2 linked regions of the Stegostoma tigrinum genome follow. The protein of the gene in region 2 purifies or fractionates together with the protein of the main gene of each other region. This does not show direct contact. Links are inferred from orthologs where the notes say so. Each region holds a gene or a part of one and is shown on either strand. Other genes may lie near its edges.

The links.
Region 1: the proteins of cdk7 (region 2) and gtf2h5 purify together in Homo sapiens (affinity purification with mass spectrometry; 7 studies listed by BioGRID and IntAct, with this or other methods). This does not show direct contact. The link is inferred for Stegostoma tigrinum from reciprocal best matches to the Homo sapiens genes CDK7 and GTF2H5.

Annotation. Positions count from the first base shown.
Region 1 is NC_081362.1:31,605,287-31,612,946, reverse strand, and holds the start of gtf2h5 (general transcription factor IIH subunit 5), read right to left. Parts: upstream 3,066-7,660; 5' UTR 2,904-3,065; intron 2,742-2,903; 5' UTR 2,682-2,741; intron 1-2,681. Other genes in the region: protein SERAC1, read right to left, coding at 7,048-7,134. UniProt on the Homo sapiens protein: Component of the general transcription and DNA repair factor IIH (TFIIH) core complex, which is involved in general and transcription-coupled nucleotide excision repair (NER) of damaged DNA and, when complexed to CAK, in RNA transcription by RNA polymerase II.
Region 2 is NC_081356.1:109,484,420-109,491,740, forward strand, and holds the start of cdk7 (cyclin-dependent kinase 7), read right to left. Parts: upstream 3,114-7,321; 5' UTR 3,060-3,113; coding exon 2,994-3,059; intron 1-2,993. UniProt on the Homo sapiens protein: Serine/threonine kinase involved in cell cycle control and in RNA polymerase II-mediated RNA transcription. Cyclin-dependent kinases (CDKs) are activated by the binding to a cyclin and mediate the progression through the cell cycle.

The sequences.
Region 1 (7,660 bases), on a different chromosome or scaffold from region 2:
TGTTCCAGCCCTGTTGAGGTGTAATCTGTCCAGTTTGTGCGGCTTCCATCAGCCCCAGAATCATACCTAATGCCTCAGAAATCTAAAATCTTCCCTCCTGCACCATCTCTCCTATTTCTAAACATACTGCCATGCAGCCCTGGGAGTAGTCCCCAAATTACTACCCTTGAGGCCCTGTTTTTGAATTTAACTCCTAGCTCCTTACATTCTGCTTATCATACACCCTTTTAACTTGTGTTCGTAGACATGGACATGAACCATACTCTCTGGTTGTTCATTTTACCCCTTCGGAATATCCTAGAACCACTCAGTGACATCCTTTACCACACACCGGCTACAGAAACATCTGCTTCCCTCATGACAGAATTTTGTATCACTATTCTCTCTTCTCTCCTCTTCTTTACTCCCCCAACAGCTCTGCATAGCGCAGCCACTTGTGTGCTACAGACTTTGCAGACTGAATGAACATGAGCACATACAGCACCTTTTTCAACGCAATTAAACAGGCAACAGCTATTCTCTCCTTCATTTCCCAGTCGAATCAGAGTCAGCCTGCCTGGTTTAAATAAATTACACAAAACCGGAGTTACCTGTCAATCACCACCTAACTGGTGTATTCCCCATGGCAACACCTGTACCAATCAGCACACTTCTCATACAATAAAGTAGTTGCTCCCTTACAAATTAATATTTCTTGCAAGCTATCTTAATGTGTGCAAGACAAAGTTTTTCAGAAAAGCTCAAGTCCTGTACTACTGAACTTTAAATTAAAACACCTCTACTACAATTCTCAATGTTATCAGGGACAATTCCACTGCTGTCAGTACGTGAATCTCATATCTGAATTTAGGCACCTTGAACTGTTTTCTTTTCTTGTCCAGATTCAATTTCATCTGGTGAACTCTCCAGCACTGAGAAGAATGTGGTGTGCAACGGCCTCTGTCATTTCAACACATCAACAGACCAGCAGATAACGCCAATCACTTCCACTCTAGAAAAGTCAACAGCTGTCTCATTGTGTGGCGATGATCTTCTGAAGAAGCTGAAATTCCAAATTGCAGGTACTTCTCAAACATCACAAGAGTTTCTGAATTCATCCAACTTCACTTGCTAGTATCCACCACAAGGAGAATAGTAAAGATCTTTGCCTTCACAAATTATGACGAAATATCTTCAATGGTTAGCAGGCAGTAGTAAGATCTCTTCAAGGTTTTATTGAAGTCCTTCCAGGTTATTTCACTGCTATCACTTTGCAAGTCAATCTGTCTGAGTTGCCTCGTCCTTGATTCATTACTCCTTTTTCAACTTCTCTTGATTTTCAGGTGGACTTGAGAGCAGCCAGATCTCTCCAGATGCTGAGCTGGTCTCGCCTGTTCATCTATTTCAAATTATTTACCAGGGTGACAAAGACCTGTCGAAACATTTTCCTTTAGGATCTGGTCAGTGAAACCAAGGTTACCAAACCATGCTTAAAAACTTTTTCAGCTGGTATGAGTGGATATTGTTTGGATATTGAGTGGAGTACCGTCCCATCAAATAGTCTCAACTTGGCCTTCGATGGCTTCATTTTGCCTTCTTGATACAACGGTAATGTTCTTGCCTTTGAGCCAGGCAGCCTAGATTTAAGGCCCACCTATTCCAGAGGTGTCTAATATCTATTAACAGGTTGATTAGAAAACATATACATAACACCAGTGTCTTTCTGGCACTTAACTTGATGCTCTACTTCTGCAGTCATCATTCCAATAGTCGCACTTAAATTTACTATCAAGTGAACTGAGGGACAAAAGGACTTTGGTGTTCAAGTCCGTAAAGGTGTCAGCACAGCTGGACACGGTGATGAAGAAAGCATTCATGATGTTTGCCTTCATTAGCTGGGGCATAGAATATAGTAGCAAGGAAGTCTTGCTACAACTTTGTTATGCCGCAAACAGAATACCATGTTGTTTGCTACACAATGGGGCAGATGTGATTGCAGTAGAGTGGGTACAGAGGAGATTCATCAGGATGTTGCCTCGGATGAAAAGTCTCAGTTGTAAGGGAAGACTGGGTTTCGTTTTCTTGGAGCAGAGAAGATATCTGATTGAGGTATACAAAATTATAAGAAGCACAGGCAGACAAGATATATAGAATCTTAAGAATCTTTTCCCTGCAGCATACATGTCTAAGACCAGAACGCTTAAAATTAAAGGTGAGGAACAAGTTGTTTAGAAGAGATCGGAAGAAAAACATTTTCACCCAGAGGGTTGTAGAAATAAGGAACGCGGTGTCTGAGGGGGCAGCAGAAGCAGATACTCTTGCAACACCTAAGAAGCATGTGGCACTTAAAATGCCAGGGCACAGTAGTGCACTAAATACAGGTAAACAGGATTACTGTGGTTTGGTAAAAACCGAAAGAACTGCAGATGCTGTAAATCAGTGACAAAAACAGAAGTTGCTGGAAAATCTCAACAGGCCTGGCAGCATCTGTGAAGGAAAAAAAATCAGGGTTAACGTTCCGGGTCCAGTGACTCTTCCTCTGAGGAAGGAACTTCGAGCAATCTCTTATCTCTAGCAACTTCTGTTAGTACAGTTTGATGTTTGTTAGTCAGCACAAACATGGTGGACCGAAAGGCCTGTTTCTGTGCTGCGTGACTAATTCTTGTCATCCAAGTAAGATGAAGTGGAAAAGTGCTAATTACCGTAGATCAGGCCAGATCCGTGATGGGCGCCTTCACGCCCCCCGAGAAAAAAACTCAAACCTACCATACAATATAAAAGAAACATCAGTTGGAGGCGGGACATTTCTCGAGACAGCACACCATTATTAACATGGTCAAGTAAGGATTAGCATTACGAAAACACATATGCATAAGTTTTACAATTTAAAAGGTGGGGGGGGAGAAAAGATTCAATACTCAAACCTGATCTCTACGGAACAACCATTTCTTCTCTCGCAGCGCTAAGCGATCTGGGATAACACACGCAATTCAAACATGACCAATCAGTTAACGGCACCTCGAACAAAATGACACCACATTGGGTCAGAGTTGCACCGAAATGATTAGAGGGGTTATATAGCGTTTCAGTTCGGAGTCGGAGTCGTTTAAGTCCCAGCCTCCTTGTGGAAATGTGTTTATTTTTTGTCCGCAAATTTCCCTCCAAACGGTTTGTTATATTATCTCAAATTGAATTGTCTTGTCATACGTACACGTCTGGTATGCTGTATCACGCATGACTGATTTGGTCAGTGTGCCAAAGTAACAGGATATCTTTCCACAGTACGTGGGCAGCTGGAAAAGTACATTCAATGTTTGTTTCTAAAAGTGTGATTAGGGAACCTCAAGCCACTGTTTCAGTGGCCTCCCCTTTCTGTGCTACACATCGACTCCAGGGTTGATGGTTAAAATTCACCCAAATATGCACCAAGGAGAGTTGGAGGCATGACAGTTAGTGCAAGCAATGAGTTAGTATTCTGATAAAGGATTCTCATATTCCACTGAAGGACATGTCAGCTAAGACGTTTCGCAAAACATGGAACCTGTGAAGTCAGCAAAGTTGGCTTGATATGTGATTAATAACCGAGAGACAGATCAAGTATACTCCAAGATAGATTAATTGTATAAAGATAAAATTGTTCTCCCTGACATTTACAGTTAAGGATAGTCGGAAGTTCTGGGTAATTGTCCCAATTTTTAAGGATTGTCCTGCTGCTGTTACTTCTAGTCACCCTACTACTGCTCAACCAGATTTATGAGTACAGTGCAACTCTGACTCAGACTAATACAGTGTTACTGTGCCTCTGATATGAATCAATCCAATGTAGATCTGAGCATCTTCCTGAGAAGAGAATGGTAGATACTGTGGATTAGATTGGAGAGAAAAGTCATTTTTAGTCCCAGACCAGAAGCGTTGGGATAAAAACCTTGACAAGGTTACTTAAAATAAGTCCAGTGAAACGCAGGTATGAAAATAGCTACATCTTATTCCAGAAAAATTGAAGTCATATGTGACTTAAATCTGGTACAGGGACTGTAGTGTGAGTATTATGTGAAGCATGTTTGGGACCTGTAGCAGTGGTGTGTTTGGTATTACACAGTAGTTGTTTCATTTCTTTTCAATTTATAAAATAATATGTTGGGACTTATTGGGTTATACTTTTACTGGGTATTTAAAATATTTGAATTTGCTATATATTTTATTGTTAAAGGATCACAACAAATAAAAATATGATCTCAGCTAGGGTCCTGACTGAGATCTGACTTGTCCAATAATAAAATCAACTAGGATCATAACTGAAGGAAGAGACCAATTTGGTGAAGTTACAATCACCAGGGAAGTAGTAATGAACAAACTGATGGAGCTGCAGGCTGACAAATTCATAAATTCACAGCACTGTTACATAGAAAAGTACAGCACAGTACAGGCCCTTCGGCCCACGATGTTGTGCCGTGGAATAATCCTAATCCAAAAACAAAATAACCTTACCTACATTCCCTTCAATTCACTGCTGTCCATGTGCATGTCCAGCAGTCGCTTAAATGTCACTAATGACTCCGCTTCCACGACTACCACTGGCAAACTATTCCATGCGCTCACAACTCTCTGGGTGAAGAACCTCCCTCTGACGTCTCCTCTATACCTTCCTCCTAACACCTTAAAACTATGAACCCTCATGGCAGTCAATCCTGCCCTGGGGAAAAGTCTCTGGCTATCGACTCTATCCATGCCTCTCATTACCTTGTACACCTCGATCAGGTCGCCTCTCTTCCTCCTTCTCTCCAGAGAGAAAAGTCCGAGCTCAGTCAACCTCTCCTCGTAAGACAAGCCCTCCAGTCCAGGCAGCATCCTGGTAAACCTCCTTTGCACCCTCTCCAAAGCCTCCACATCTTTCCTATAATAGGGCAACCAGAACTGGACACAATATTCGAAGTGTGGTCTCACCAGGGTTTTGTAGAGCTGCAGCATAACCTCACGGCTCTTAAACCCGATCCCCCTGTTAATGAAAGCCAAAACACCATATGCTTTCTTAACAACCTTATCCACCTGGGTGGCAACTTTGAGGGAACTATGCACTTGAACACCAAGATCTCGCTGTTCCTCCACACTGCCGAGAATCCTGCCTTTAATCCTGTATTCAGCATTTAAGTTCGACCTTCCAAAGTGCATCACTTCGCATTTATCCAGGTTGAACTCCATCTGCCATTTCTCAGCCCAGCTCTGCATTCTGTCAATGTCCTGCTGATGCCTGCAATCGCCGGCATACTATCAATGGCACCTCCAACCTTTGTGTCATCAGCAAACATACTAACCCACCCCACAACCTCTTCATCCAAGTCATTTATAAAAACTACAAAGAGCAGAGGCCCAAGAACAGAGCCCTGCGGGACACCACTCAGCAGTGACCTCCAGGCAGAATACTTACCATCTACAACCACTCTCTGCCTCCTGTCAGCCAACCAATTCTGAATCCAGACAGCCAAATCACCCTGTATCCCATACCTCCTGACTTTATGCATGAGCCTGCCGTGGGGAACTTTATCAAATGCCTTGCTGAAGTCCATGTACACCACATCCATTGCTCGACCCTCATCAACCTGTCTCGTGACTTCCTCAAAGAACTCAATAATATTGGTAAGGCATGACCTTCCCCTCACAAAACCATGCTGACTCCGTTTAATCACGCTATGCTTTTCCAAATAGTCATAAATCCTATCCCTCAGAATTCTTTCCAAAACCTTGCTGACCATAGACATAAGACTGACTGGTCTGTATTTTCCAGGGATTTCCCTATTCCCTTTCTTGAAAAGAGGAACAACATTTGCCTCCCTCCAATCTTCCGGTGTGACTCCCGTGGAGAGTGAGGAAGCAAAGGTCTTTGCCAGCGGCTTAGCAACCTCCTTTCTCGCTTCCCGGAGCAACCTAGGATAAATACGGAAGCCATTCAGCCCCATCATGCCTGTGCCAGTTCAATTAAATCACTTTAAATCTATGCCCACTCATTTTTTTTTACTTTTTTTCAGAAGGAACAGCTTCTCCCCACTGATCATGATTTTGCAAACCTCTATCAAATCTTCTCCCGCCTTATCTTTCCAACGAGAACAGTCCCAACCTCTTCACCCTATCCTCAGAACTGAAATATCTCATTCTTTGAACCATCCATGGGGTGACACAGTGACTCAGTGGTTAGCACTGCTGCCTCACAGTGCCAGGGACTCAGGTTTGATTCCACCCTTGGCAACTACCTGTGTGGAGTTTGCATATTCTCCCTGTGTCTGTGTGGGCTTCCTCCAAGTGCTCTGGTTTCCTCCCACAGTCCAAAAATGTGCCGACTGGGTGGACTGGCCATGCTAAATTGCCCATAGTGTGCATGGAAGTGTAGATTAGGTGGGTTATTGGGGGATGAGTCGGGTAAGATGCTCCAAGGGTCGGTGTGGACTTGTTGGGCTGAAGGGCCTGTTTCCATACTGTAGGGATTCTATGATCATTCATATAAATCATTTTTGCACTCTCTCCAATGCAATCACACTATTCCTGTAATGTGCCCACAAACATATACAATACACCAGCTGATGTTTAACAAGTGTTTTGCACAAGTTCAACATCATCTCCCTGCTCTTGTACTCTATGCCCTTATTAATAAAGCCAAGAACAAAGTTCCCAGGTCCTGATGTATTTCATCCGAGGGCATTGTTGAGGTAGAGGTCAATGATCATACATTGATCCAGTGCTGGGACGGTCTGCCCAAGGAAAGATTCCAAGATAGCATTCTAACTCAATGAGGATTAATTAGATATTCATACATTGTAAGTCACATAGATAGTACTTGAATTCCAAGATGATCTGCTTTAGACAAAGACCTTGTTTATCATACATTCCTAAAGTGCCAAGGTGCCTGTTACACTTGGTCTTACCACTCATATCTTCCCAGATGTCATTGTATCTCCTCTCTGAAGGCTACGCTTTATTCCCATCCTTGACTCGACTCCATTACTTTGTTTTTCTCACTGTAGTATGGGGTCATCTTCTCATTACACTTCCAAATAAGACCTCAGGGTTAATGCTGGTTCAGCCACAGTACATTTTCACAGAAACTCTGTCTGCTACATCAGCATCTGATCGTATTTCTGCAGTTCCTTTTAACCTGATTACTTCCTTGAATAAGAATAAATAAAACAGAATCATAAATGATTTATATTACTGAGGTAGTAGGATTTGTATTACTGTAGCTTATGAAGTTATCTAAAACTCTCTAACTCATTCTAATCCCAGTTGGAACTTCATGTAGATAACAGGTTAACTCGTCATACCCAAATTTCCCCCTAACAGCATTAAAATAGGTGGTTAATGAGGTAGTAGATTCATTTGTGTTAATTTTCCAAAATTTGCTACAGTTCAGAATATTGCCATCAGACTGGAAAGTGGAAAATCTAACTCCAATATTCAAGAAGGTAGGGATGTAGAAAACAGAAAACTATGGGCCAGTTGCCTTGACATCTGTGATGACGAAGCTTAGAAACAGAAAGCCAGTTAGGAGAGCGGGTGTTGACTGAGTGAGTCGTAGGTCTAAAGGGAGTTACTCAGAAAGTGTGAGAAGGGAGAAAATTTGGAAGGTGGGCATGGTGAGTGAGTGAGATGTGGGGCCTGGAAGAGGTTCATGAAAGGTGAGCAGGGGACAGTG
Region 2 (7,321 bases):
AGTGAGACCAATCGGTGCTCCTTTCAATGCTGCAAAAATTACCAGTATACTTAAAAACATTTAAATTGGCAAAATTTCAACAATACCACATCATGTAACGAAGCTGCCCACAAGCCAGTGGGGAAAGCAACACACAGAACCCTTTGATATCTTCAATTTCGTGTCCTTTTTATTGCCCAAGATACACAAGCAACCCTGAGCACACAATTCACTTGATGGTTTGAAAGTGGATTCTAGATCTGAGTTTGAATAGTTGACAGAGTGATTTGGACTCCAGGTTTATCAACACCTCTGATCAATGTCTGGGTCAAGTGCTGGCAAAGTTGGAGAGTTCACAAAGTGTTTGATTTGAAGTTAAGAAGTCTACCTCCCTCTCAGTCTCAAGTACCCCATCCCTTAGTCTGAGACTGGCTCTCTCAATCCAGACCAATGTTCCTGCTAAGCTGCATGGGCAGCTGAATATCCATGTACACTGGTCAGCATGCTGACTCTGTGTTGCTGAACTCACATCTGTTTTCTTCAGCAGCTGCCAAGCATGGACCTTGGAAGTCCACACAGCTTTGAAGAAATTAGGAAGGAAATAAATCTAGACCTTCACAACCATGGAAATACTACTCCTGCATTTATGTGGCATGCCTTATGAGAATTTTGTAGATCTCAATGGGGTCATTACTCATTCTTCTAATCTACAAGCCCAGTCTCCTCAATCTCTCATCACAGCAGGATCTATTCCATCCCAGGAATCAATCTGTGAACCCTTATTGCACACTCTCTATAACAAGTATATCATTCTCTTGGGCAAGACCAAGCTCTACACCATGTGCACTTCACCAAAACATGTACACAGCCTTGATGAGACTGCACAAGTGCAGCAAGACACTCCTTGATGGGTTCTCTAAGTTATATCTTTCTATTTTATTTCTTATACTCAGGTGTAGTTTAGTTTGGGAACATGGTCAGCAGGGACTATTTTCACTGAAGGTCTGTTTACATGCTGTAAGTTGACATATCATTTGGCTTCTTCATTGGTCACTGTACCAGGATATCGGCTTTTGGTGACTAATGAACTAGGGCACCCAGGTCCATTTTGACATCAACTCTTCCCAATCCCTCACCACTTAAGGATTATGCCACATCTGTTTTTCCACCTACCTGATTAATTTCACATCTTGCCATATTGTATTATACCTGCCATGTTCTTACCCATTCATTCAGCGTAAATCCCTTGAGGCATCTGTGCATTCACCTCATAACACTTCCCACCTAGTTTGGTGTCATTTGCAAACTTGGAAAATATATTTGGTCCCCACATCCAAAATCACTGAATATCTGGATCTGTGAGGTAGCCCAAGATGCTAACTTGAAAAGGACCTGTTTATTCCTATCTCTGTTTTGTATCTTTTAGCCAATTCTATGGCAATAGACTACCCCAATCCCAAGTATTTTAATTTTACGCACCTCATGTAGAGGACCTTAATTGAAAGCCTCCTGAAAATCCAAATACACATCCAGAGATCCTGCTTATCTATCCTTTTAGCTACATTCTGAAAAAAAACTCCCGATTGATTTGACAAACACGACAATTTCCCTTTCATTAAACCACGTTGACTGTCAATCAGATCATTATTTTCTCAGTTATATAATAAAACCAAGATGCTGAAAATCTGAAACAAGAACAGAAATTGCTGAAGAAACTCAACAGGTCTGGTAGCATCTGTGGAGGGAAAGCAGAATTAATGTTTTGGTCCATCGACTCTTCATCAGAACCAGGAAGCTATTTTCCTCAGTGTCCAGTTATTACAGACTTAATAGATTTACCTATTACTGATATAAGGCTGAAAAGTTCTGTTTTCACTCTTCTTTCATTCCTAAATAGTGTAGTTACATCTGCAAACTTTAATCTGAAGATGGTCAGAATTCACCATCTCTACAGCCATTTCTCTCAACTCTATGTAGATATGTAGATCAATAGATCCTGAGGATTAATCAACATTCAGGACTACTTTTTAACTTTTGTGCCTCATTCTGCTGGTGTCTTTGTTGTCAAGCACTTCTGGTAGGTTATCCGGGAAGACAGATACAAACAGCTTTATTTAGCTTCTCAGTCATTTCCTTATCTCCCAATATAAATTCCATTTAGCATGCAAATATGATTCTAACTTCAACAGCTGAATGTTAAAATTCATCCTTTTTAGTTTTATTCAACTGCTTAATTTTTCTTTGTAAAACACTGGCTACAAAATAACTTCAATTTACAGCACTTTTCACAACCACCAGGTGTCTCATAGCGCTTTTTAGCCAATGAAGTACTTTTACTATGCTGTAATATATAAGAGGTGGCAGTCAGTTTGTGTTCAGCAAACGGAAATGTGACAAAGACCCGGTAACGTTCTTCCTGATGTTGGGGGAGTAGTAAGTATCGGCTAAGACATTGAGGACAAAAACCTCTTCTTCCTCCAACATGTGCCATGAGATCTTTTACATGCAGCTAAGCAGACAGAACGAGCCTTGGTCTGACATCTCATCCAAAGGACGGTACCTCCAGCACTCGTGATTTTTATTTTCTCAAGTCCTGAAGGAAGACTTGAATCCGGAATCTTGTGATTCAAAGGAGCGAGTGCTATCAAGTCGACATTATAAAATTGAACGAGGTTTGCTTATACTGAGTTCTGAGGAAGAGTCACTCGACCTGAAACGATAACACTGATTTCTCTCCACAGATACCGCTGAGCTTTTCCAGTAATTTCTGCTTTTGTTTCTGATTTACAGCATCGACAGTTCTCAACTGTTTCACTGTTCTCTGGCTATTCTTAAAGCAGGAATGAGTGAAACCGATAATTTTCCGTTCAGAACTGAATAAAGCTTCTCCAGCAACACGATGTTAGAAGTTTTGGGAAGTAATAATCAGCCTCCGCCGCCATAACAAAAGCAACGAGCGCAAATACTGAGCCCTGCCAACAGCGGGTGCTTTGGTCTTTAGGGGTAAACCTTACCTGCCCCTCGCCCAGGAAGTCGAGCTTCTCGTAACGCTTGGCCCTGGAGCGGACATCCACCGCCATCTCTCATAGGAGCAGCAGAAACTTCGCACCATAACTTCCGGTGCCGGCCTTACCTCACTTCCGCGGTCTGGCGACCGAGGCCAACGTTGTTGCTCAGCAACCACAGCCAAGCCACCATCGATTCACCGGTCTAAATGGTGAAGGTAACCTCCTCTTGATAACCGGGATATTCTCCATAAACTCCACGGGAGAGACCCATCAAAACTGCACATCACTGAGAGAAGATAGTGGTGTACCGGCTGTGTCACGTAGACTGGTAATCCAGAGGCCTGAGGACATGAGCATCCATAAAGATGCCTGGATGGTTCTTTATTTAAGGTTATGGAGATTAAAAACTCATGTTAGAATTGGATTCCGGGAGACCAACGTTGGGGTCAGCACTCTAGGAGGGTGAAAACGTGTACTTATTTTTGGGAACATTAAACAAGATGTGTCAAATAGGCTTGCCAACCTCTACTTATATTTGTGCAACATTTTGTTTGGACCTCCAACTTCATAACTTCAAAAAACTGGTGTTTTGATTTTTTTGACCAAAACTAACACGAGTTACAAGATTCAAAACCAAATGAAGTCGCAAAGGTTTACTCAATCATGTCCTGTTCAGATTGTTATGTACGTTTATTCAGTCTCTGAGCAGCAGGACTAGGATTAAGATGTGTATGTTATAGTCAAGCAGTTAGTTTTATCTACGTGTAGCATCATATCTAAATAAAGATAGAGTTGTCAGAAGCGAGACATTACGCTGAATCTTCCCATGGTGCACCTACCACTGTTGAACATGAAATCAATTAATTTAGCAGAAATCAGGGACCAAATCTGATCTGTGCAGCAGAGCTGCACAGAACCAGCCATTTATTGTAGAACTTACAAGAGAACAATTTATTTTAAAAAATGCTTTAGCAAATAAAAATCCTTCACACTGCTTCTTGTATATTGCTCTCAAGCAGCCTTCTCTGAACTCAATTTTGGTTTTATTAGTTGAATTCTTGCTTTTATGTTAAGTAACCAAGCAGCATGATGAGTGTTAACTGATAAATTGCAACACATCCTCTTGGATCTTACGTGATAATGGGAACTGCAGATGCTGGAGAATCCAGGATAACAAAGTGTGAAGCTGGATGAACACAGCAGGCCAAGCAGCACCTCAGGAGCACAAAAGCTGCCATTTCAGGCTGAGACCCTTCATCAGAGAGGGGGATGGGGAGAGGGAATGGGAATAAATAGGGAGAGAGAGGGAGGCGGACCGAAGATGGAGAGAAAAGAAGATAGGTCGAGAGGAGAGTATAGGTGAGGAGGTAGGGAGGGGGTAGGTCAGTCCAGGGAAGACGGACAGGTCAAGGAGGCAGGATGAGGTGGTAGGTAGGAAATGGAGGTGTGGCTTGAGGTGGGAGGAAGGGATGGGTGAGAGGAGGAACAGGTTAGGGAAGTGGAGACAGGCTGGGGGTTAAAATAGTATCAGAGATAATGGGAACTGCAGATGCTGGAGATTCCAAGATAATAAAATGTGAGGCTGGATGAACACAGCAGGCCAAGCAGCATCTCAGGAGCACAAAAGCTGACGTTTCGGGCCTAGACCCTTCATCAGAGAGCTCTCTGATGAAGGGTCTAGGCCCGAAACGTCAGCTTTTGTGCTCCTGAGATGCTGCTTGGCCTGCTGTGTTCATCCAGCCTCACATTTTATTATCTTGGAGACAGGCTGGGCTGGTTTTGGGATGCAGTGGGGGGGAGGCGACAAGCTGAGCTGGTTTTGGGATGCAGTGGGGGGGAGGCGACAAGCTGGGCTGGTTTTGGGATGCAGTGGGGGAAGGGGAGATTTTGAAGCTTGTGAAGTCCACATTGATACCATTGGGCTGCAGGGTTCCCAAGCGGAATATGAGTTGCTGTTCTTGCAATGTTCAGGTGGCATCATCGTGGCACTGCAGGAGGTCCATGATGGACATGTCATCTGAGGAATGGGAGGGGGAGTTAAAATGGTTCGCGACTGGGAGGTGCAGTTGTTTGTTGCGAACCGAGCAGAGGTGTTCTGCAAAGCGGTCCCCAAGCGGGTTTCCCCAATGTAGAGGAAGCCACACCGGGTACAATGGATACAATATACCACATTGGCAGATGCACAGGTCAACATCTGCTTGATATGGAAGGTCATCTTGGGGCCTGGGATGGGGGTGAGGGAGGAGGTGTGGGGGCAAGTGTAGCACTTCCTGCGGTTGCAGGGGAAGGTGCCGGGTGTGGTGGGGTTGGAGGGGAGTGTGGAGCGGACAAGGGAGTCACAGTGAGAGTGGTCTCTCCGGAAGGCAGACAAGGGTGGGGATGGAAAAATGTCTTGGGTGGTGGGGTCGGATTGTAGATGGCGGAAGTGTCGGAGGATGATACGTTCTATCCGGAGGTTGGTGGGGTGGTATGTGAGAACGAGGGGGATCCTCTGGGGGTGGTTGTGGCGGGGTGTGAGGGATGTGTTGCGGGAAATACAGTCAAGGGCGTTCTCGACCAATGCGGGGGGAAGCCGCTCACCCCACTCCTCCCACCACCGACGGAACCCTGCCCACAGCCGACGACCACATCGCTCCGCCCATAACCTCCACAGCCAGCAACCCCAGAGAAGACAGCCACACTGAGCCCTGCCGCATCTTCACCATCCCGCCAGACCTCCCACTGACTTTGGACGAACGGTCAGTCCTAAGCAAGGGGCTCACGTTTGTCCCCCTCCACCCACACATCAATGAATACCAGTCACATTTGGACATCGAGCAGTTTTTCTGCCGCCTTCGCCTCCACGCTTACTTCTTTAACTAGGAGCCCAACCCTCCCTCCACTGACCCCTTCACTCGCCTAGCCAAACTCGTCCTCACCCTCAACAACTTCTCTTTCGACTCCTCCCACTTCCTACAGACAAAGGGGGTGGCCATGGGTACCCGCATGGGCCCAAGCTATGCCTGCCTCTTTGTAGGTTACATGGAACAGTCCCTCTTCCGCACCTACACAGGCCCCAAACCCCACCTCTTGCTCAGTTACATTGATGACTGTATCGGCACCGCCTCATGCTCCCCAGAGGAGCTCAAACAGTTCATCCACTTCACCAACACCTTCCACTCCAACCTCAAGTTCACCTGGGCCATCTCCAACACATCCCTCACCTTCCTCGACCTCTCAGTCTCCATCTCAGGTAACCAGCTAGAAACTGATGTCCATTTCAATCCCACTGACTCCCACAGCTACCTAGAATACACCTCCTCCCACCCACCCTCCTGCAAAAATTCCATCCCCTATTCCCAATTCCTCTGCCTCTGCCACATCTGCTCCCAGGATGAGGCATTCCAATCCCGCACATCCCAGATGTCCACGTTCTTCTAGGACCGCAACTTTCCCCCCGCAGTGGTCGAGAACACCCTGGGCCGCATCTCCCGCATTTCCCGCAACACATCCCTCACACTCCACCCCCGCCCCCAGAGGACCCCCACTCGTTCTCACATATCACCCCACCAACCTCCGGATACAAAGTATCATCTTCCGCCATCTACAATCCGACCCCACCACCCAAGACATTTTTCCATCCCCACCCTTGTCTGCCTTCTGGAGAGGCCACTCTCACCGCGACTCCCTTGTCCGCTACACACTCCCCTCCAACCCCACCACACCCGGCACCTTCCCCTGCAACCGCAGGAAGTGCTATACTTGCCCCCACACCTCCTCCCTCACCCCTATCCCAGGCCCCAAGATGACCTTCCATATCAAGCAGATGTTGACCTGCACATCTGCCAATGTGGTATATTGTATCCATTGTATCCGGTGTGGCTTCCTCTACATTGGGGAAACCAAGCGGAGGCTTGGGGTCTGCTTTTAGAACACCTCCACTTGGTTTGCAACAAACAACTGCACCTCCCAGCCACAAACCATTTTAACTCTCCCTCCCATTCCTTAGACGACATGTCCATCATGGGCCTCCTGCAGTGCCACAATGATGCCACCTGAAGGTTGCAAGAACAGCAACTCATATTCCGCTTGGGAACCCTGCAGCCCAATGGTATCAATGTGGACTTCACAAGCTTCAAAATCTCCCCTTCCCCCACTGCATCCCAAAACCAGCCCAGTTCTTCCCCTCCCCCCACTGCATCCCAAAACCAGCCCAGCCTGTCTCCGCTTCCCTAACCTGTTCTTCCTATCTCCCATCCCTTCCTCCCACCTCAAGCCACACCTCCATTTCCTACCTACCACCTCATCCCGCGTCCTTGCCCTGTCCGTCTTCCCTGGACTGACCTATCCCCTCC